Linked DNA regions of Oryctolagus cuniculus. The protein of the gene in region 1 purifies or fractionates together with the protein of each later gene. This does not show direct contact. Links are inferred from orthologs where the notes say so. Each region holds a gene or a part of one and is shown on either strand. Other genes may lie near its edges. The genes, in order: STYK1 and TMEM259.

Evidence for each region.
Region 2: the proteins of STYK1 (region 1) and TMEM259 purify together in Homo sapiens (affinity purification with mass spectrometry; 3 studies listed by BioGRID and IntAct, with this or other methods). This does not show direct contact. The link is inferred for Oryctolagus cuniculus from reciprocal best matches to the Homo sapiens genes STYK1 and TMEM259.

The regions. Positions count from the first base shown.
Region 1 is NC_091440.1:108,189,783-108,200,541, reverse strand, and holds the end of STYK1 (tyrosine-protein kinase STYK1), read left to right. Parts: intron 1-283; coding exon 284-380; intron 381-1,430; coding exon of another isoform or gene 1,431-1,452; exon of another isoform or gene 1,453-2,590; intron 2,591-3,323; coding exon 3,324-3,528; 3' UTR 3,529-5,692; downstream 5,693-10,759. UniProt on the Homo sapiens protein: Probable tyrosine protein-kinase, which has strong transforming capabilities on a variety of cell lines. When overexpressed, it can also induce tumor cell invasion as well as metastasis in distant organs.
Region 2 is NC_091447.1:58,535,705-58,547,385, reverse strand, and holds the start of TMEM259 (membralin), read left to right. Parts: upstream 1-5,917; 5' UTR 5,918-6,106; coding exon 6,107-6,331; intron 6,332-8,029; coding exon 8,030-8,293; intron 8,294-8,628; coding exon 8,629-8,725; intron 8,726-9,355; coding exon 9,356-9,466; intron 9,467-9,541; coding exon 9,542-9,664; intron 9,665-10,221; coding exon 10,222-10,322; intron 10,323-10,560; coding exon 10,561-10,780; intron 10,781-10,871; coding exon 10,872-11,004; intron 11,005-11,588; coding exon 11,589-11,681. Other genes in the region: CNN2 (calponin-2), read right to left, coding at 2,311-2,373. UniProt on the Homo sapiens protein: May have a role in the ERAD pathway required for clearance of misfolded proteins in the endoplasmic reticulum (ER). Promotes survival of motor neurons, probably by protecting against ER stress.

The DNA.
Region 1 (10,759 bases):
GTAGTAGGTGGTAGGCCTTATTCCTTTGCATTATTTTATCACTTTCTTAAAGACTCAAAATTTCTCTTTTATCAGTTTTTCCCCAAAACATCTTTCCTCAAAATTTTCTAAACTACATCCTTACCTGATCACTGGGAGCAACTATATTGGATCCAGTATTTTTCCTGTGACTATACCTTCTGTGGGTGATTAAGGGAATGGACAGTAATGTTAGTTATCATTAATACTTTAGTGTGTTAAGCTCTAAACTCTTTTGCTTTTCGGGTTCTTCCTGTGCTGCCAGGAGCACCACCATATCCTGAAGTCCCTCCCACCAGCATCCTGCAGCATCTCCAGAGAAGGAAAATCATGAAGAGACCCAGTAGCTGCAAACACACCATGTACGTGGGTTTTAAAGGCCTTCTCTTTGCTCAATTCAAATCTTTCTTGCTCCCTACCCAGTGTGCCGTTTTCAAAGTGACTTAGATGACCCTCAGCTGTCCTTAGATGATAATTTGTAGCCTTCGACCAAACCCATACAGTGAAAACATGTCTGCTCCTATGTCACGGATGCATACACATCCTATACACATATCAAGATACTTGAAAAATTTATGGAAAATGGAATTAAAGGATAAGTTATTTTAATATAAGATATTTTTGAATTCCATGCATAGGTTTTCATAATGTGCATTTTCCACGAATATTTTTTAAAAAGATTTATTTATTTATTTATTTGAGAGAGAGAGTTACAGACAGAGACAGAGAGGTCTTTTCTCTGCTGGTTCACTCCCAAATGACTGCAACGGCCAGAGCTGAGATGATCTGAAGCCAGGAGCCAGGAACTTCTACCAGGTGTCTCACGTGGATGGAGGGGCCCAAGCGCTTGAGCCATCTTCTACTGCTTTCCCAGGCCATAGCAGAGAGCTGAATCAGAAAAGCAGCAGCTGGGACATGAACCAGAGCCCATATGGGATGCCAGTATCACAGGTGAAGGCTTAACCTACTGTGCCACAGCACCAGCCCTCATATATACATGGATTTCATTTTTTTTTTGCACCAAAATGAACTTGTATGTTAACTTAATTTCCACCAGTTTTTAAAAGTACCCTCTTATATATACATATATGTATGTATGTTTGTGTGTGTGCATATATATATATATATATATTTCTGTTCCCCTCTGATGTTGAAGCAACCACTGAGAAGCATATGAGAAATCTGAGTTTGATCAAATTTAGTTCCACAGGGACGTTTGAAAATTGATAGAGTGCAGACCAAACTCAGTGCAAGAGCAATGGTGTTTTACTTGTCTAAATATCAGTGTGCTGCCAGCTTCAGTTCAAAGATAGCAGATGATAAAATTCATTGCATTGCAATTACTCATTCTGGCTATAATGGCTCTTATTTAATATTTAACTTTTTGAAACTAATGACTTGTGTTTTCCCAGCTCCCAGCAGATAGAAGCCTAACAGAAGAGGGAAAGTAAGAAGAAATTAGAAAGCAGCAACAGGAGGATCCAATAGTGTCGGCAGGAAGGGACAGCTGGTAAACCAACTTGGAAGCAGACAGTGAAACAAAATTACCACCAGTAGTTTAAAAGGGACTATTAGAAAACATAAGGAAAGTTTCAATTGTGTCTAGGAAGGCAACTAATATGCTAATGAATATTTGTATGACAACTGTTGCTATTTTGTAATTTGTCAGCATGGAAGGGTTAAGTTTCCAACACCTGGTTTTCCCTACAATAAACAGTTACTGTATTGAGCTGATTATAATGTTTAAATATCTTAACTACAAGCACACACACACAGAGTGTAATAATTCTGGCTGACAGGTATTTCTTCTATGTTTTCTTGTATGGCTGTCCTTGCGGTGGAAGCTTAGCCTTACAGCTAAGATGCTGGTTAGGATGCAAGCACGCCATTATTAGTATGCCTATGTGTGATCCGCAGCTCCTGATCTTAGTTTCCTGCTAATGCAAACCTTGGGAGGCAGTGATGATGGCTTAAATAATTGGGCTCCTACTGCCCACAGGGGAGACTTGGATTGAGTTCCTGGCTCCCAGCTTCAGCCTAGCTGAATCAATGATGGGAGCTCTTTCTATCTCTGTCTCTCTGTCCGTATGTCTCTCTGCCTCTGAAATATATACTTTTTTGACAGGCAGAGTGGACAGTGAGAGAGACAGAGAGAAAGGTCTTCCTTTTCCGTTGGTTCACCCTCCAATGGCCACTGCTGCCGGCGCATTGCGGCTGGCGCACCCCGCTGATTGGAAGCCAGGAGCCAGATGCTTCCCCTGGTCTCCCATGTGGGTGCAGGGCCCAAGGACTTGGGCCACTCTCCACTGCACTTCCCGGCCACAGCAGAGAGCTGGACTGGAAGAGGAGCAACCGGGACAGAACCCGATACCCCAACCAGGACTAGAACCCGGGATGCCGGTGCTGCAGGTGGAGGATTAGCCTATTGAGCCGCGGCACCGGCTGAAATATATAATTTTTTAAAGGCTGTTCTTTATACTAGGGGAGACACCTGACAAAGTGCATGACCTTACAGAACTTAATTTTTTTTTTTTTTTGAAAAGCAGAGTTACAGAGAAGAAGGAAAAGGGAGAAAGAGAGGGGAAACAGAGAGGGGGGAGAGGTGGAGAGAGAGAGAGAGAGAGAGAGAGAGAGAGAGAAACTTTTTTTTTTTTTCGACAGGCAGAGTGGACAGTGAGAGAGAGAGAGAGAGAGAGAAAGGTCTTCCTTTGCCGTTGGTTCACCCTCCAATGGCTGCCACAGCCGGTGCGCTGCGGCCGTGCACCGCGCTGATCCGATGGCAGGAGCCAGGTACCCATCCTGGTCTCCCATGGGGTGCAGGGCCCAAGTACTTGGGCCATCCTCCACTGCACTTCCTGGCCACAGCAGAGAGCTGGCCCGGAAGAAGGGAAACCAGGACAGAATCCGGTGCCCCGACCAGGACTAGAACTTGGTGTGCCGGCGCCGCTAGGTGGAGGATTAGCCTAGTGAGCCGCGGCGCTGGCCAGAACTTAATGCTTTAATGAGGAGATCACTGAAATCACATGAAAAGCCAACATAAAGTGTGGGGCGATACAGTAAATGGTTAAAAGCTCCATCTTGTATTACAGAATAAAAAAGGTATACATCCAGTCCTAGCACTGCTGGTTTAGCATACACTATGCATTTTTTAAACTACAAAGAGTATGGCAGAACACTTTTTTCCACTCTGCATTGTCCAGTAAATGAGAGGAAACCAGAGTGATGTTGTTGTGAATGTTTGTGGGAAGGGGTACTCTCTCTCCTCATACACTTGCCTAGTCAAATTTCTCTTGTTCGCCTCTCAGGTATAATATTATGAAGTCCTGCTGGCGCTGGAGTGAGGACAGCCGCCCTCTGCCTAGAGAGCTGCGTGTGCGCCTTGAAGCTGCTGCTAGAACTGCAGATGACAAGGCTGTGTTGCAAGTGCCAGAGTTGGTGGTGCCTGAACTGTATGCAGCCGTGGCCGGCATCAGTGTAAACAGCCTCTCCTACAGCTACAGCATCCTTTGACGGCCCCACCCCCCACTCCAGCAGGAAACACTCATGGACGACTGTATGCTCTTCGAAACAGTTTTCCTCCAAGAACAAAGAACAGACTTTCTGGGGGAGAGATAAAGGGAGAAATGGGACAAGCATTCTGGATCTCTCCCTAACCATTTCCCTAGAATTCTAAAATGATGTTGGATGAGGCTCTCCACACATATCTCTTTGAGCTCAGGAATTCGTTATCAGTCCCATTTTGATAGACCCTGGGGGAGCAGTGGTGGAAAACGTTACAGCCCAGCAGGTATCAGAAATCTGCAGTGTTTGTTGGGACATGACAAACATGAGCTGGTATCTCCCACCCAAGGTTAGTTTACTCCTGAAGAATGTTTTTATCTAGACTCCTACAAAGTCCAGAGGAACAGAAATCCAATGAGAGAGTGGATGAGAAAGAATATACAAGATTTAATTTGCTTCAGGAGTGTAGGTGTGGACCCAAATCTGTGTATGTGTGTGTGTGTTTGTGTGTATGCACATGGGTGTAATGAATAAGGATTGTGATGGCTAAGTATGAAGGTTTGGTGGTTTAGAAGTCTTTAAGAGGGGTTAGAAAAGCATGTATGTAATCTGATATGGAAGGATGGTAGCTTCATGGTGAAATATCATTAAATTAATACTCATTAAATGGAAGTACGATTTTCTGGTTCACAGCTGCCAAAGTATTTCTACAATAGAGAAGATAAAGGTAAATGCCTAGAAGTTAATTCAACAGAAAAATTTAAGGGACAACCTACATTGTCAGAAAAGGGATTCTTTATGTGTGAAATGGGGATAATATCCAACTCACAGAAGGATTGAATGAGAGTATGTATTTGTGCAGTGTCTGGCATAAAACAGTGCTCAATAAATGTTAGTTTCCTGTCTTGTGCCCTTCCTAACCCAGAATCTTCCAAATAGATTTCATATAAAATCTGTGACCCAGAAGAAAGCCTTGGTCTGTGACAGTACAAAGCTGGAAAGGCCTGTAGATAATGGCATGGTACAACAAACAACACATGAATAAAATGGTAAAGTCAATGTTTTTCAAAAAAGTATGTATGTATTTGAGAGAGAGAGAGAGAGAGAGAGAGAGAGGGAAATAGAGAATATCAAGACATCCTATCCACTGGTTTACCCTCATGCCTGTAAGAGCTGGTGCTGGGCCAGGCCAAAATCAGGAGCTGAGAACTCAATCTGGGTCTCCCACATGGGTGGCAGAGATCAAAGTGCTTCAGCCATCACCCGCAGCCTCCCAGGATGTGCATTAGCAGGAAGCTGGAGTCTAAAGCAGAGTCAGGACTCAAACCCCACACTCCCATATGGGATACAGGCATCCCAAGTGCTATCTTAACTGCTGCCCCTGATGTCACCATTTTTGTGTGAACTTCTGGATGACAATAATATTCCTATTTCAAAATATTAAAGATAGGGGTCGGCACTGTGGCATAGTAGGCTGGGCCTCTGCCTGCAGCACTGGCATCCTATATAGGTGCTGGTTTGTGTCCTGGCTCCTCTTCCAATCCAGCTCTTGGGTCCTGGCTTCGGATTAGCTCAGTTCTGGCTGTTGGGGCCACTGGGGAGTGAATCAGTGGATGGAAGACCTTTCTCTGTCTCTCCATCTCTGTCTCTCAAATAAATAAATACAAAAATTTTAAAAAATATTAAAAGTATCATGATGAGAGCAAATCTGTTGAATATGATGATCTGTAATTTTAAAGAACACTGGGCTGGAGGCCAACATTGTGGCATAGCAGGTAAAGCTGCTGCCTGTGACCCCAGCATCCCATATGGGCGCCGGTTTGTGTCCTGGCTGCTTGGCTCCACTTCTGATCCAGCTCTCTGCTATTGTGCACAAAAAGCAGCAGAGCATGGCTCAACTGTTTGGGAGACCTGGATGAAGCTCCTGGCTTTGGCCTGGTCCAGCCCTGGCTCTTGTGGCCATGTGAGGTGTGAACCAAAAGATGGAAGATCTCTGTCTCTCACTCTCTCTCTCCATCTCTCTAACTCTGACTGTCCAAGTAAGTAAATTAAAAAAAAAATAGAATGCTGGGATCTAAAGCTGCTGAAGGAAAAATGACAGCTAAAAATGATGTAGGAGTTGGAAACTTGATGGAGTCATGATGAGTTAGCCAAATAAAGACTGATTCTGTTACTCCTGGAAACTTCTCAATGATTTGTTGGGATTTAAATGGGCAGTGGATGGCAATAGAAGGGAGGTAGAGTGGCTTGGAACAAACAATAAGTTTCTGGGGAAATTCCATTGTTTCTCAGATGTTCCTTTAAGTCAAATTTACAAAGTATTTATTTGTTCACGTACTTAAAATGAAACTTTTAAATGTTTATTTATTCATTTGAAAGGGAGAGACAATGATAAGGAAGCAGAAATATTGAGAAGTCTTCCATCTGTGAGTTCATTCCCCAAATGCCCACGACAGCAGAGGCTGGGGCAGGCTTAAGTCAGGAGACAACAAACAACACATGAATAAAATGGTAAAGTCAATGTTTTTCAAAAAAGGGATCCTATCTGGGTCTCCCACAGGGGTTGCAGACCCCAAGCACTTGAGCCATCATCTGCTTCCTCCCAGGGTGCACAGATTAACAGGAATCTGGATAGGAAGTGGCGATGAGACTTCAATGCAGGCACTCCAATATGGGATGCAGCATCCCAAACAGCAACTTCTCCCACTGCGCTGCCATAGTCACACAGATACTGAATACTGACTCACTGTGCCAGACACTGGATGCCAGGTGTTGGATAAAAAAATAAATAAATAAAAACAAGGAGATTTTTGATTAGTTCAGAAGCTAAGAGACTGTATATTTATTTGTGTGGGTATCTTTTAGTTACAAATTATATTAAGCACTATCAAAAGAAATCATAGGATAGAAAGAAGTATGCTGTATCTTTGAAGATACAGCATTTAACTTGAGACCTTAGGGATGGGTAGGGAAGACAGTGGGAAGAGCCTTCCAGGAATGCACTACATTGGTGAAAACTCCAGGGCAAGAAGCATTGTTTGAGGAACTTCAAGGAAGCATAGGGGCTGCACATGGTGAGAGGGATAGTGGTACAGTGAAATGCAGAATGAACCTTTCAAAGGATCCATGCATATTTGTTTTGGTAGGAGGGAAAGAAGCAGACAATTAGCATTTTAAACTTTACCCTAATTTATTTATTTTCCTGAATATAGGCCTGGAAAAATGGAAACAGGAACTCTGATCCTTAGAAACCAGTAACTTCTCCTCACTTGGCTTTTTTTGAAAGGAGGATTTTGTGTCTGAGGGTTTTTTTTTTTTTTAAAGATTTATTTTATTTATTTGAACAACAGAGTTACAGAGAGAGGTGGAGGCAGAGAGAGAGGTCTTCCATCCACTGGTTCACTCCCCAGAGGGCTGCAATGGCTGGAGCTGCGCCAATCCAAAGCCAGGAGCCAGGAGCTTCTTCCAGGTCTCCCATGTGGTGCAGGGGCCCAATGACTTGGGCCATCTTGTACTGCTATTCTAGGCCATAGCAGAGAGCCGGATGGAAGAGGAACAGCCAGGACTAGAACCGGTGCCCATATGGAATGCCGGCTTCAGGCCAGGGCTTTAACCTGCTGTGCCACAGCGCTGGCCACATATCTGAGGTTTTATTTCTGGTATCTAGATATTTTATAGACAAAACTAGGTACTTCAAAGGTAATGAATGCAAAACAGAATTAAAACAGTCACCATTTAATCAAGTGGAATTCATATTTTTATTGTTTTGAACAGCCTTCCTACAGTTTTGTTTTTATGCTCTATATTAAAAAAATAACAACAGTTAGGAACTGGGCAAACATATGCCTAGGTAAAGCGGCTAAAGGAAACTTAACAATCTAGTTTTGCATAGAATAATATGAACTGGCAGTTACTGTTATGGAAACTGAATAATAGTGGCACTTTTCACCATTTTTAAAAGAAAAAAGTTAATAGAAGTTTCTTGAACTTAAGCTTGTTGACCTAATTCAAAAAAATTTTTTTTGCTTTACCACACTGATTTACTTAAATAATCAAGTAGCTATTACAATGGAAGACCAGAGGACCTCCTATTATTCTTAATTTAACAATCTATTTGAAGCACAATAGTTAAAGGTTATGCTATGTCTTTGAAGCTGTACTCTGCAAAAAAAGTTCTTAGATTGGATAATGGAATTAAATATAGCATCATATCATTATAACCTAGATATAGCTCCATGTGCTCACCATACATAAACATATCTGATAAAAAAATGATATGGTAAGTTTGATGTTTCTGCATGATGGTGAGTCTCTTACTTAGAAAGAAATATCGCTGAGTAGTTTAAAACAAACAAAAGATAGGCTAAAATCCATAAGGGATGTCCATTACAAAAAAGAGAAAGGTAGGTAGATGGAATAAGGACCGAAAGAGGCTAACTCATTCTTCCTTTTTCTCATTTTAAACCACTTTATTAGCATGCTCTGTTAGAACATATATATTTGACTTACTACTCTGATCCATTTAACGGGATGAGATAGGCCTGACTGCTTTCACAAAGTCAAAGCTAATCAAAAAATAATGATACAGTAAACCAAACAAAAACATTAGACTATTATCTACAGTGTTTATTACAATGAAGGTAGAACATACTTCTGAAAATCAGAAGTCAGAATAATTTGGCTCTTTTAAATAAAGAGGCAAAAAAGAATTTGGAGGACACATGAGACATAAAAGTGTGATCAAATGAAGAGAGAACTTTCTATGTAGGAAAAATCAGTAGAACATTTTAAATGTTAACAATTATAAGATATAACTTTCTTTGGTGATAGCCCCCTAAATTGATTCATCACCTTGAAGCTCAAGGAAAAGAACATAGAAACTCTACAGAAGAATCATTATTGTGTCAATGAATATTGTATACCTGAACAAATATTAGGCTCCATTTCAGTTAGAATTGGTAATAAAACATTCCTTATCTACTTCACAGGTGCTTTGAAGTTGACCACTCTGTTAGCAAGGACAAAAATAGTGCTTTGGCTTCATTTTAGTAGCTCAAACTTTTTTTTTTCCATAAGTAAACTGTGGAGTTATCATTAAGTCTGCACTAATTTGAAGCAACTGAGATTGAAAAACAGTTACAGGGGCCAGTGTTATAGCACAGTGGGTTTAGCCACCATGGCTTGCTACACTGGCCTCCAATATCAGAATGCCAGTTCAAATCCCAAATCTCTGGTCCCAATCCAGCTCCCTATTAATTTACCTGGGAAGGCAGCTGAGGATGGCTCAAGTACCTGGGCTTGTGCTACTCATGTGGGAGACTCAGGTGGAGTTCGTGGCTCCTTGCTTCTGCTTGGCACAGTCTTGGATGTTATAGCCATTTGAGTAAACCAATGATTGAAAGATACCTCTCTCTCCCCCCACGCCTCCCTCTCTCCTTCCCTCTCTTTCAAATACATACATACATAACTTTTGTTTATAAAAACACCCACAAAATATTTTCATGAAAAGTTTCCTATATCTGTGCTGACCAACACAATAGCTACTAGTCACGTGGAGTTCTTTAACTGGTAATCAAAATTAATCAAATTAGGAATTCTGTTCCTGGGGCAGGCATTTGGCACAGAGATTTAAGACGCCACTTGAGATGCCCACATCTTATTATCAGAGTGCCTGGTTGGAGAGAGTCCCAAGCCCCTCTGCTTCCAATTCAGCATTCTAGTAATGCACACCCTGGGAGGCAGCAGGTGATGGCTCAAGTACTTGGTTCCAGGCCACCATATGGGAGACCCAGATTGATTTCTGGCTGGGTATTGCGAGCATTTGAGAGTAAGCCAGCAGGTGGAAGATCTTTGTCTTTCTGCCTTTCAAATGGAATGAGCATTTAAAAATAATAAATAAAAATATGAAAGAATTCAGTTATTCAGTGACATGAGGCACATGTGATCAAAGTGTGATCACTTTGTAGTTCTTGTCCTGACACAATGGGTACACTTTTGCTTTAAGATATGAATAGTTGGAGGCCAGTGCTGTGGCACAGCAGAAAAAGCCATCACCTTCAGTAGTGGCATCCCATACAAGCATGGGTTCTAGTCCCAGCTGCTGCACTTCCAGTCCAGCTCCCTGCCAATGTGCCTAGGAAAGCAGCAGAACATAGTCCAAGTGCTTGAGCCCCTGCACCCATGTGGGAGACCTGGAAGAAGCTCCTGGCTTTGGTTGTTGCAGCCATTTGCGGAGTGAAGCAGAGGATGGAAGATCTATCTCTTCCCCCTTTCTCTCAGTAACTCTGCCTTTCAAATAAACAAATCTTTAAAAAAAAAAAAGATATGAATAGTCAGGTAAATATAGTTCTGTATTTCATCTTTAAAAAGTGGATTAGTCTTGAACTCTTAAGTCTTCTTAGGGGATCAACACAGTAACTGATCTACAAAGATCAGTGCATTCCATAAATTCTATTTACATAGTCACAAATTCTGGTATCCACAGCTGTATTTAGGCATACCTAAAAATAAACATGGGCCATGTGCCAAAATCTGAAGAATATACATCAGAGAATCTGAAGATATTGAATGAAGCTTCTCATGTAATTCAACTAGATGGACCACAACCAGTATTTTCAGAAATACTATGAAATATTATGCTCAAGTTTATGTGAATTAATCCTGGGTAACCAACTCACCCCATCTTTCCTGGGACTCTCCAGGTTTTAAAGCAGGAAGTTTCATATCACAGGAACCTGCACAATCCAGGGCAAATTGGACTGGCAACTTAACCTAGTGGTATGGCTTGGTGCTTTATTTTTCTTTTGTGTTTTCAAATGGTGGTCTATAGTAAGAACTGAATCATTTTTCCTGATAAGTAATTATACAACTGTTAACATAGTCTCAAAATAATCTGGCTGAATCATCCTTTCTAGTCACTCCACTTCCATGAACTTTACCTTCCAGCTACCCTGAGTTTCTTGGCATGCGTTTTCACACCACCTTGTTTTAGCTCATCCTCTGGTTGGAATGCTTTTCCATTGGCATACAGAATTCACACATCAAGGCCCAGTTCAAATAACATCTCTTTTCACAAGCCTTCTCTGATACTTCCCTTTCTTCGAATTTTCCTACTGCACAGCAGAATGGCTTCCTGTGCTGTGTTACCAGCTGTTTTACACTTAGCACTTTATTATAGCAGTCGCCCCCTTGTGCTCGGGTTTGTCTTACATGTTTGCTTTCTTTTCTAGGCTACAGTGCA
Region 2 (11,681 bases), on another chromosome or scaffold:
CCAAGGGAGAAAGAGAGATGAAGAGTTCATTCACTGGTTCCCTCCCCAGATGGCCACAACGGCCGAAGCTGGTCTGATCCGAAGCCAGGAGCCAGGAGCTCCATCCGGGCCTCCCACGCGGGTGCAGGGGCCCAAGGACTTGGGCCATCGTCCACTGCTTTCCCAGGCCACAGCACAGAGCTGGATTGGAAGTGGAGCAGCGGGGACTTGAACCGGCGCCCACATGGGATGCAGCCCTGCAGGCGGCGGCTTTACCCGTCGCGTCACAGGGCCGGCCTCTTGCCTCCCTCTCACTTCCCCCTCCCTCCTGCCCCCCACACCCCAGGACCCCGTGGACTCCACAGCTGCCCTCTGCCCCCCACCCCGCCTCTGAGGGGCGTCTTCCACCCTCTGAGCCTCGGTCTTCCGGCATGAGCCCCCCCCTGCTTCCCGGCTGTGCACCCTGCTCCTACGGCTGGGGCTGGGCCCGGGGAGGCCGTGGCACAGTGGAGACAAAGGCAGGGGGGGGCTAGCCCCACCCCGAGAGCGGGCGGAGGGCTCAGGCCCTGAGTGGAGCTGGAGGCTCAGGGCGCCACGCACGCCTGGTGCAGCTGGGCTGGGTCACTGTCAGCCCCGGGGGCCGGGGGGCCGGGGGTCAGCACTCCTGGCAGAGGCGCCTGGCGGGCCCCTCCCACGGGGCCGCCCTCCCCCTGCCACCTCGGCCCCCAGTGCATTCCTGCTCCCCACAAACTGCCAGGAATGTGCCCTGGCGCCCCTGCTGAATTGGGACCAGCTGTTCCCGGGCCGTGGCGGCTGAGAGGCCCCGGACCTCGGCCTGCCTCGTGCGGCCTGGGTCGCCCCGAGCGGCTGCACCGTGGACAGGGCGTGGGCTCGGAGCCACGGGGACCGGGTCTGCAGCGGGGCTGCCAGCTCGGTGCGACCCCGCGAGCTGCCGGTGGCGCTGCTCTTCCAACTGGGAGGCCGCGGGCCGGACACAGGGAGCTGGGGCGGCCGCTGCTCCTCTGACCTCAGCGCCGCCAGGCAGGTGTCGGCCTGCCCCTCACCACACCCTGCTGCCGGCTCCGGAAGCTGCCTCGCCGCGGTGGGGGTGGTGGGAGGGCGGTGCACCCTCCCCACTTCCGCTGTCCTGGGCCAGCCCACCTGGGAGAGCCGGGGGCCAGTGGGCGCTGGCCTTGGGTCTGGCCTGGGCCCAAGCTGTGTGGTCCTGCGGCGCCACTGCAGGCCGGGTGCAAGCCAGGGCTTAACCACGCCCAGTGGTTAGGGCAGCCGGCCACCGGCTGGGTCCCTGCTCGCCCGTCCGCCCTCTGGTCCCCGGGTGGGCAGGCTCCGAGGAGCCCCAGGGTCTCCCGGAGGGCAGGGACCTGTCAGGCCCGCCGAGTGCCCAGCCTGTGCTGTGGGGCTGCATCCCCAGGTGCCCCCGGGGGAAAGTGGGGGGGGCAGGATGACCACGCCCTCCCACCTGTCAGCCGGACAGGCCACTAGGAGGAACCGAACGTTCCCCATCTCTCTCTGCCCCTCCCCACTCAGGATCCCGTTCCTGCCCCTCTCCGGGCCAGAGCCACAGTGGGCTCTCCAAAAGGGTCTCCGGGCCGGCCAGCTCCAGCCCCACGCCCGCCCGTCTCCTGGAGCCCATTCCGGGCCCGGCTCCTGACTCCAGCTCCCTCTGATGCACGATGCACGCTGGGAGGCAGCAGGACCGGCTCCAGCGCGGGGGTCCCTGCCACCCCGCCCCCGGGGCCCCGGATGCAGCCCAGCCCTGGCCATAGTGGGCACTTGGGGGGTGAACCAGTGGGCGGAAGCTCTCTCCCTCTCTCTCTCTCTCTCGCAAAGTTTTTACAAAAGTCTCTCATCGGCCCTGTCCACGCTGCCAGGCATTTCAGGGTCGCGCTCGCTCGGGGGCCCTCGGGGAAGGCGGGGCGGGGCGGGGCAGAAGGCGCCCGCAGGTTTAGAACAGGTCGAGAAAGTCCCGCGGGGGTGGCCCACACCCTGCTCAGCACCGCGGCCCCGCCCCTTTCCTGTCCCGAAGCCGAAAAAGCAGAAGTGCGGCCCGCGGATGGGGAGGGGGCTGCAGGGGTCCCCCCACCCGCGCTGCACATTCCGAGGCCTGGAGGCTGTGGGGGTCGGGGCTGAGACCAGAGGGCGCATCCACGGGCCCAGGTGGGCGGGGAGGGCGCCCAGACCACCACCCAGCGCCGCGGACGGGAGGCGCTGCCTCGTCTGGAATCTCGGGGCTCCCCGAGGAGCCGTGGGGCGCCCCTCCCAGAGCCGCCCCGACGCCCGCCCGGGTCCGAGGCGCCGCCCCTCACTCACCCGGTTCTTGACCTCGGCCGAGAGCCCGTACGAAGGCCCCTTGTTGAACTGCGTGGAGCTCATGCTGGCGGCGCGGACCGAGCGCGCGGGACGCGGAGGGGCGCGCGAGGCGGCGTGCCGGGGGCGGGGCGCCCACGAGGGGCGTGCCGGGGGCGGGGCGTGCGGGCGGCGGGGGCGTGCCGCGGCGGCGACGGCCCCGCCCCCCGCCGCTGGTTGGCCCGCCGCGCTCTTGTCCTTATAAGGCCGGGCAGCGCCGAATTCCTGCGGCCGCGGACTTCCTGAGCCCCTCGCCGCGCCCGACCCCCACCCGGGTCGCGCTCCCGGGACGGCGGCGGCCGGGAGGGGCCCCTCGCCCGGCGGCTCCGCTGACACCCCCGCCCCGGGAGCGCGACCCCCGAGAGTCCCGCGCCACCCCGGGGCCGGACGGAGACCGGGCACGCGGTTGGTGCTCCACGGGCGGTGTCTGTGCGGGAGCCGGGCACACGGACGCAGAACAGCGTGGACGTCCACGCGCTCGCGCGTGCATCGGCCTGCGCCCCTGCTGCCCGCGGCTCAGCCCCGGACTGGCGGGAGGCAGTGCAGGGGCCTGGCGCCCCTGGGGTCCTTTCCTCTCCTGGGGGGCGCCCACGCCCACGCCCACTCCCATCCGGGCAAATCCTTTCCCTTCGGGGTCTCGGTTTCTTGCTCACCCCGAGCGTGCGGGTGGTCGACCCAGCAGCCGCGAGGGAGGGAGATCGATCGGGGCGTGCGCAGGGCGGGGTCCCTGCTGCTCTCACCGCACCTGGGGGTCCGCGTGGTCTACCCACCACGCCGCGGCCCCACAGGCGGGTCCAGGACACACAGGTTGATGTGATGTCTTCTCTGCCCCGCAGGGCCCACCCGGGGCTGTGCAGCCCCCATCCAGCCCCGCTCCCCGGGGGCGGGCCCGGCCCCCAGCCCCGACGAGCCTCAGCCTCGGGGGAGGGGCTCGCGTCCTGGCTCCGGAGCCGGCTGGCCCGTGTGCTCCCGGAACAGGGCCCAGTGGCAGCCGCCTTCAAGGTGGGGCCCCGTTCGGGGGTCGGGAATCTTTTTTGAAACAACCCGGCTGTGTGTGAATTTTGTCTCAAAGAAAAAGTTTCTTTCTATGAGGCAGAGTTCATGGAAAAAATTGAATATTTTATTGGAAAGGCAGCGAGATCTTCGCGGCTCGGTTGGGTCACGCCCCAGATGGCTGGGGCGGGCCGGGCTGAAGCCGGGAGCCAGGAGCTCATTTGGGGCTCCCACGGGCCCCGGGGTCTGCGTCAGCGGGGAGCTGGCGTCGAGAGCCCGAGCCAGGCACCCGAGGAGGGGTCCTCACGGCCGTGCCACCCGCTGCCCCTTGCCTGTGCCCTGTCAGCCTCGCTCTGCCGCTGGGGAGGGAGCTCAGGGCGGTTCCGTGTTCCCCGACCTGGGGACGTGCAGTGACACCCAGGTCCCGTCCTGCTGGCGCCGGCTTGCCCCGTGCCCTGTGCTCACCACGGCGGATGCCGCACCCGTCCTCCGGGAATGCTCAGTCCACTCCCCAGATGGCCGCAACGGCCGGAGCTGCGCCCATCCGAAGCCGGGAGCTTCTTCCCAGTCTCCCACGCGGGTGCAGGCGCCCAAGGACTTGGGCCATCTTCTACTGCTTTCCCAGGCCACAGCAGCGAGCAGGACAGGAAGTGGAGCAGCCAAGTCTCAAACCAGCACCTATACGGGATGCCAGGCTTCAGGCCACCACGCCGGCCCCTCCCACCTACTTGGAAGAGAGGGGGAGACAGGTCTTCCACCTGCTGCTCCCCAAATGCCTGCAGCAGCCGGGGCTGGGCCAGGCCGAAGCCAGGGGCCCCGACGGGGGTGTCAGGGGCAGGGCCCCCGCCCCTTGCTACATCCTGGGATTCGGGAACCTGGGGATATCCCAGTTCTAGAAACTCGGGAACACGATGCTGACCAGTTCCGTGACCTCCGCAGCGTCCACCCCCGCTCCCTGGAGGCTGTGTCACCTTAGGAAGCTGAGCCCGGTCCCCTGCGGGACGAGGCTGCGCCAGGAAATGTCCCCAGGGTGCTGGGCCCAGGGGCTGGCCGTCGTGCGTCAACGTGGGCCCAGGACGGCCGGGGAGGCCATGGGTCGCCCCCCTACAGTGACACGGGGCGGGGGTGGGGCTGCAGCGCCTGGGACCAGCAATGGCCCTGGGCACGGGACACAGGGAGCTATGGGTGTGACCCTGTCCTGTAGGTGACTTCTTGTCCCTGAGCTGCCCCTAACAGAGCCGCCTGGGGCAGGACACCGGCACACTGGGGGCGTCAGGGCCGGCTTCCGTGCCGTCCAGAGTTTCCTTACAGCGCCAGCAGGCGTGCGAGGGGGCAGGCGTGTCCCCCCAGCCCGGCGCATCCCACACCGGCCCTCCCACCAGGTCCCACCTCGCAGACGGAGGATGCACACGTGCGTCCCCTCCGGGTCGCTCTCCACTGCTGGGCTCGTGCGCGTGCCCCGTGGGAGTCCAGAACCTGGGACCCGGCCGCCCAGGTGGGAGCGCACCTTCCACACTGGCCCCAGCGCAGGGCCCCGGGGTGGACGGCTGCGGGGTCAGGGACAGGCGATGTCCCACAGGCCTGTCCCTCGGGGAGGGCGCCTCTGTCCCCTCCCGCGTGAACCCACCCACGGGGGCGGCGGCGGCGGGGGCCGAGCGAGCACGGAGGCGCGACAGGGGCGGGCGGGGTCGCGGGCGCAGCCCTGACCGGGGCCGGAGAGCTGCGGGGACCAGGTGCCGTGTGAGCCCGCAAGGCGGCGCGCGGCTCCTTCGGTGAGGCCCCTGCCTATCAAATAGGTAAGGGAAACAAAGTCACAGCGCTGCTGCGGGCAGAGCTGCGGCGACCGTGGCCCCGCCGGGCCCACCTGTGAGCCGTGGCGCTGCACCGCGGGAGCTCCGTGTCCCGGGGTGCGTCTGCTGTGGGTTCAGTGCCCTCTGGTCCCGGGCCGCCTTCTCACCTGCTCCGGTGTGTGCCAGAGGGCAGGAGCAGGGCGTGGGCTGCAGAGCGGACGGCGTAGACCCCCGGCCCCCGCGCTCACCGCCCAGTCACGCACACCCTGCGTGGGCATTCACGCGCGACGGCTGCGGCTCCACGCGAACCCGGCCGGCTCCTCCTGCACGCTGTTCGTGGAAAGGGGTAGCAAAATATGGAACGCTTCACGAATTTGCGTGTCATCCTTGCGCAGGGGCCATGCTAATCTTCTCTGTATCGTTCCAATTTTAGTATATGTGCTGCCGAAGCGAGCACGAACAAGCAGTGCCTGCCGCTAGTATTTAAAGGTCACTAACAAAATTACTTTACATTTAGGGTACCTTTGGTATAGTTTCGCAGAGAGCATAGTACCTTCGTGTTCTACAGAAAAGGACAATTTCTGTACCCTTACTTACTTTGAGTCACATCTAAGCCTAAAACTACCCATAATGTTACAATTCAAACGAGGCCTCTCAGTCGCGAAGGCTCCTGGGAAGCAATATGCAAACGAGTAGTGCCACGCGCAGCCACGCCCCCGGGCTCCGCCGAGGCGGGCCGCGGAGCGTGGGGGCGGGGCCTCCGCGGTCGGGCCGCCGGCATCCCAGGGTGCCCCGCGGGCGCAGCGAGGCTGCTCTGGCCGTGCGCGGCGGCTCGTTGGTCAGCAGGGCCGCGGCCCGGAGGAGGCGGAAGATGGCGGCGGCGGCCGGGGGGCCGTGAGCGGCGCGAAGGGGCGCCGATGGCGGCCGGGAGGCGTCCCCGGGCACCCGCGGGCCGTTAGGGCGCGACGCCGGACGGCATGTCGGAGCACGCGGCTCCCGGAGCGCCGGGGCCCGGGCCCAACGGCGGCGGCGGCGGCCCGGCCCCCGCGCGCGGGCCGCGCACCCCCAACCTCAACCCCAACCCGCTCATCAACGTGCGCGACCGGCTGTTCCACGCGCTCTTCTTCAAGATGGCCGTGACCTACTCGCGGCTCTTCCCGCCCGCCTTCCGCCGGCTCTTCGAGTTCTTCGTGCTGCTCAAGGTGACCGCGACCCCCGACCCCTGACCCCCGACCCCCGACCCCCGGGCCACCCGCCTGCCGGGGGACCTGCCGCCCGCCCCCTCCGGAAAGTTCACCCGTTCCAGTCCCGCACTTGCCGCCGACCTTTGACCCCACTCTGGTGCGCCTTCCCCAGCCTGGAGGGTCCGGCGCCCGCCTCCCGGTGGGGGTGTCCCCTCCCCGGGGCCTCCCCCGCCCCTGCCCGCGCCTCACCGCGAAAGTGACAGCTGAGGTCGCCAGGCCTCCGGCTCCCCCCCCCCCCGCCGGGGTCCGCCCCTCCCGGGTCTGCTCTGGGGGGCCTGGAGGGGGTCGCGGAAGGAGCTCGCCCGGCTCCGGGGGCCGCCCGTGTTCCGGGTTTCCCTCCGGCCAGGGGAAGTGGGGAAGTGGGCAGGGCGGTTTTCATCAGCGCCCCGCCCGCGGGTGCGGGGGTGCAGGGGTGCCGGGGGCGGCCTGCGCCCCGCCTGCCGCAGGTGGGAGGGAGGGGGAGCCCCCTGGACCTCGCCTCGGCCGCCCGTCCCCGGCCTGGAGCCGGACGCCGCACGCCGGGCCGCCGCCCCCTCCGGACAGCCGGGTCTGCGGCGGCCGAGGGGGCCGCGGGGCCTCGCGGGGCCCCTCCGTGGGCGTGGAGTGGCCGGCCCCGGGCGCCGTGTGGTTGCTGGAAGCTCACCGGCTGTCGGGCCAGCTTGGTGGCCTGCTTCCTCCTGCCGGCCGCGGCGCTGCCCCGAGTTCCGGAAGCACCTTGCTTCCTGCCCGTGGTGTCCACGCGGCGCCAGGCGCTGGGGACGCGGCCTCAGACCACCCTGCTGGCCTCGGCCGTGGCCTCTGCTGGCTTCAAGGCACAGAGCAGGTGCCTGGGCCAGGCGGCCTGACCTGCCACGGGGTGAGGGCCCTGACCCGTGGTGGCGTGGACGTGGGCGGTGGTGGTTGGGAGTGGCGGGCACCCCCGCGGGGTTCCTGGGAAGGCTGCGGCGGGGGGACCCAGGGTGCCGGCGGCGGGGGGACCCAGGGTGCCGGCCGCGGGTCCCGGGGCTGGGCCTTGGGCGCTCTGCACCCTCCCCGCACGGGGAGATGCGGCCTGGAGCCGTGTCCAGGGTCACTCCGACCCCAGAGACAGGTGGGGAGGCAGGAGGCAAGGCCCGCCCCGGCAGGCCCTGCTGCCCAGGCTGCTGGCCGGGGACTGCTGCAGCTCTGTGGCTGTGCCTTGGCCGCCTGTGAACCCGCGAGGCGTGTCGTGGCCGGCCCAGGACCAGGAGGTGCGGCGTCCGGCCACACCCACGGCGGGTCCCAGCTCCCGCCTCCTGAAGGCCGCCCGTCCCGCAGGTCCCGGTCAGCCCACTGCCGTCCGTCTTGGCTTCACAGCCGTCCGGGGGCCTGGCCGTGTCCAGGTGCTGTGGGGGCGGCAGGGGTGTGGCCGGCCACAGCAGGATGTGGGCGCCCAGCTGTTGAGACAGGCGAGGTCTTTGGCCGGGGACAGGCGGCACTGCCCGCTCGGGCCAGCCAGATGGACAGAGGCGGCTGGGGGCGCGTGCACCGGGACGACCCTCGCAGGGGAGACGCCCGGCCCGGGTCCAGCCGTGTGCGGGGGCGGGTGGCCATGGTGGACGCCGGCGGGGGGTGCCGGTGCGGGGGCGAGCCCAGGCTCTCCCGCGCTGCGCGGCGCTGACCCCGCTGTCCCCCCAGGCCCTGTTCGTGCTGTTCGTGCTGGCCTACATCCACTTCGTCTTCTCCCGCTCGCCCATCAGCTGCCTGGAGCACGTGCGGGACCGCTGGCCGCGGGAGGGCGTGCTGCGCGTGGAGGTGCAGCACAACTCGAGCCGCGCGCCCGTCTTCCTGCAGTTCTGCGCCGGCGCCGGCGCCCCCGGGAGCTGCCCCGGGCTGGCCGTGGAGCCGGAGGACGAGGACGAGGAGCTGACCATGGAGATGTTCGGGAACAGCTCTGTCCAGGTGAGCCGCCAGGCCCGGCGTGCGGCCCCTGCCGGGGGCGGGGTCTGCCCTCCCAGCGCCCCAGTGGCCACGAGGAGGGGTCGGCTGGGCCTGGGCGCCGAGAACGGAGGCCGGCCAGGGCTGGGCCTGCTGTGGGGCCCCATGTCCCTGGCTGGCGGCCTCAGTGCTGGGAGGGCGGGCCGTGGGCCGGCCGTGACCAGGGCCTCCCGTCGGGGCCTGGGTGCTGTCCCCACGCGCCCACCCCCGGGGCTGGGGCAGCGCCGGGGTGGGGTCCCCGCAGGGCGGTCAGCAGGCCCGAGCTGCTGCGGGCCCTGACTCTGGCTCCGCCTCCCCAGTTTGAGCTGGACATCGAGCCCAAGGCGTTCAAGCCCCCGCGGGGCACTGAGGCCAACGACAGCCAGGAGTTCCCCTTCTCCGAGACGCCCACCAAAGGTACAGGGCCGCGGGCCACCCGCTCTGGGGCCTGGGGGTCCCGGAGCAGAGCCTCCAGCTTATCAGCAGGGCCCTGGGCAGCCGGCAAGGACCCCCTCCCCGCGCTGACCGCCCCTGCACTGACCCCCTCCCCACGCTGACCGCCCCTGCACTGACCCCTGCCCCGCGCTGACCGCCCCTGCACTGACCCCTGCCCCGTGCTGATGGCCCCTGCACTGACCCCTGCCCCGCTCTGACCGCCTGCCCACTCTCTCCCTCCCGCACTGACCGCCCCGCCCACTCTCTCCCTCCTGCGCTGACCGCCCCGCCCACTCCCCCAAGCTGTCCGCCCCACCCACTCCCCCGCGCTGACCCCCTCCCCGCGCTGACCGCCCCTGCACTGACCCCCACCCCGCGCTGACCGCCCCGCCCACTCCCCCGCGCTGACCACCCCCCCACTCCCCCGCGCTGACCCCCTCCCCGTGCTGACCACCCCTGCACTGACCTCCACTCCGCGCTGACCGCCCCGCTCACTCCCCAACACTGACCCCCGCCCCGCGCTGACCGCCCCTGCACTGACCCCCACCCCGCGCTGACCGCCCCGCCCACTCTCTCCCTCCCGCGCTGACCGCCCCGCCCACTCCCCCGCAGTGTGGCCGCAGGACGAGTACATCGTGGAGTACTCCCTGGAGTACGGCTTCCTGCGGCTGTCGCAGGCCACGCGGCAGCGCCTCAGCATCCCGGTCATGGTGGTCACGCTCGGTGAGTGGGGGCGGGCGCGGGGGGGCCTGGCCGAGGGAGGCGCCCGCGGCTGACCTGCCCCTGCCCCGCCCCCAGACCCCACGCGGGACCAGTGCTTCGGGGACCGCTTCAGCCGCCTGCTGCTGGACGAGTTCCTGGGCTACGACGACATCCTCATGTCCAGCGTGAAGGGCCTGGCGGAGGACGAGGAGAACAAGGGTGAGCGGGGGCGGGGGTGGGGTGGGGGGGCGGGGCGGGGCCTGCGTGAAGGGCCTGGCGGAGGACGAGGAGAACAAGGGTGAGCGGGGGCGGGGGGCGGGGTGGGCGGGGCCGGGGGCGGGGCGGGGCCTGCGTGAAGGGCCTGGCGGAGGACGAGAACAAGGGTGAGGGGGGGCGGGGGTGGGGTGGGCGGGGCCTGCGTGCAGGGCCTGGCGGAGGACGAGAACAAGGGTGAGCGGGGCGGGGGTGGGGGGGGTGGGGGGCGGGGCCGGGGCTGGGCCTGCGTGGAGGGCCTGGCGGAGGACGAGAACAAGGGTGAGCGGGGCGGGGGTGGGGGGGTGGGGGGCGGGGCCGGGGGCGGGGCCTGCGTGAAGGGCCTGGCTGAGGACGAGAACAAGGGTGGGGGGGCAGGGTGGGGGTGGGCGAGGCCGGCGCGGGGCTGGCCTGGGAACTGGGGGGGCGGGGCCAGGGGCTGCCGGGGCGGGGCCTGGCCTGGGGGTGGGGCCTGGCCTGGGGGCAAGGCAGGGACGGGCCGGCTCATGGCCCCCACCCCCCAGGCTTCCTGCGGAACGTGGTGTCGGGCGAGCACTACCGCTTCGTCAGCATGTGGATGGCGCGCACGTCCTACCTGGCCGCCTTCGTCATCATGGTCATCTTCGTGAGTGCCGGGGCGGGCGGGGGACCATGCGGCAGCTGGGGGCGGGGCGGGGCGGGGCGGCTGTAGCTGGGGGCGGCGCGGGGCGGGGCGGCTGTAGCCGGGGGCGGGGCGGGGGACCATGCGGGGGCGGGGCGGGGCGCGGCGGGGCGGCTGTAGCCGGGGGCAGGGCGGGGGACCATGCGGCAGCTGGGGGCGGGGCGGGGACCGCGGCCGCCCCTCACGCCCCGCCCTCCCGCAGACCCTGAGCGTGTCCATGCTGCTGCGCTACTCGCACCACCAGATCTTCGTCTTCATCGGTGAGTCTCGGCCGGGCGGGGGCGCGGTGGGCGCCGCCCCCGCCCTCACCGGGCCCCGCCCGCGCCCTGTGCCCGCAGTGGACCTGCTGCAGATGCTGGAGATGAACATGGCCATCGCCTTCCCCGCAGCGCCGCTGCTGACGGTCATCCTGGCCCTCGTGGGTGAGCCCCCGCCCGCCCCGCCCCGCCCCCAGGCCGCCCCGCCCCCAGGCCGCCCCGCCCCCCGCGCCAAGCCCGCGCCCTGTCCCCGCAGGGATGGAGGCCATCATGTCCGAGTTCTTCAACGACACCACCACGGCCTTCTACATCATCCTCATCGTGTGGCTGGCCGACCAGTACGACGCCATCTGCTGCCACACGAGCACCAGCAAGCGCCACTGGCTGCGGTGAGGGCGGGCGGGGCGGGGCCGGGCAGGGGGCGGGGTTGGGGGAGGTGGGGCCGGGAACTGGGTGGGGGAGGGGAATTGGGGTGGCAGGGGGCGGGGCCGGGGAGCTAGGGGGGAGAGGCGGGGCCGGCAGGGGGCGGGGGCTGGGGGGGATGCGGGCGTCAGGGAGGGGCCGGGGACCTGGCTAAGGCGCAGGAGAGGCGGGGGCGGCAGGGGGCGGGGTTTGGGTGGGAGTATGGGGCGGCAGGGGGCGGGGTTGGGTGGGAGAGGCGGGGCCGGTAGGGGGCGGGAGCTGGTGGGGGGGATGCGGGCGTCAGGGAGGGGCCGGGGACCTTGCTAAGGCGCAGGAGAGGTGGGGGCGGCAGGGGGCGGGAGCTGGGCAGGAGGGGGGCCTCTGTGGGAGGGGACGGGGACCTGGCTAGCGTGCAGGAGGCGGGGGCGGCAGGGGGCGGGAGCTGGGCAGGAGGGGGGCCTCTGTGGGAGGGGACGGGGACCTGGCTAGGGTGCAGGAGGCGGGGGCGGCAGGGGGCGGGAGCTGGGCGGGGCGGGCACCAGGGGGGCTCACGCCGCACCCCACCCTGCAGGTTCTTCTACCTGTACCACTTCGCGTTCTACGCCTACCACTACCGCTTCAACGGGCAGTACAGCAGCCTGGCCCTGGTCACCTCCTGGCTCTT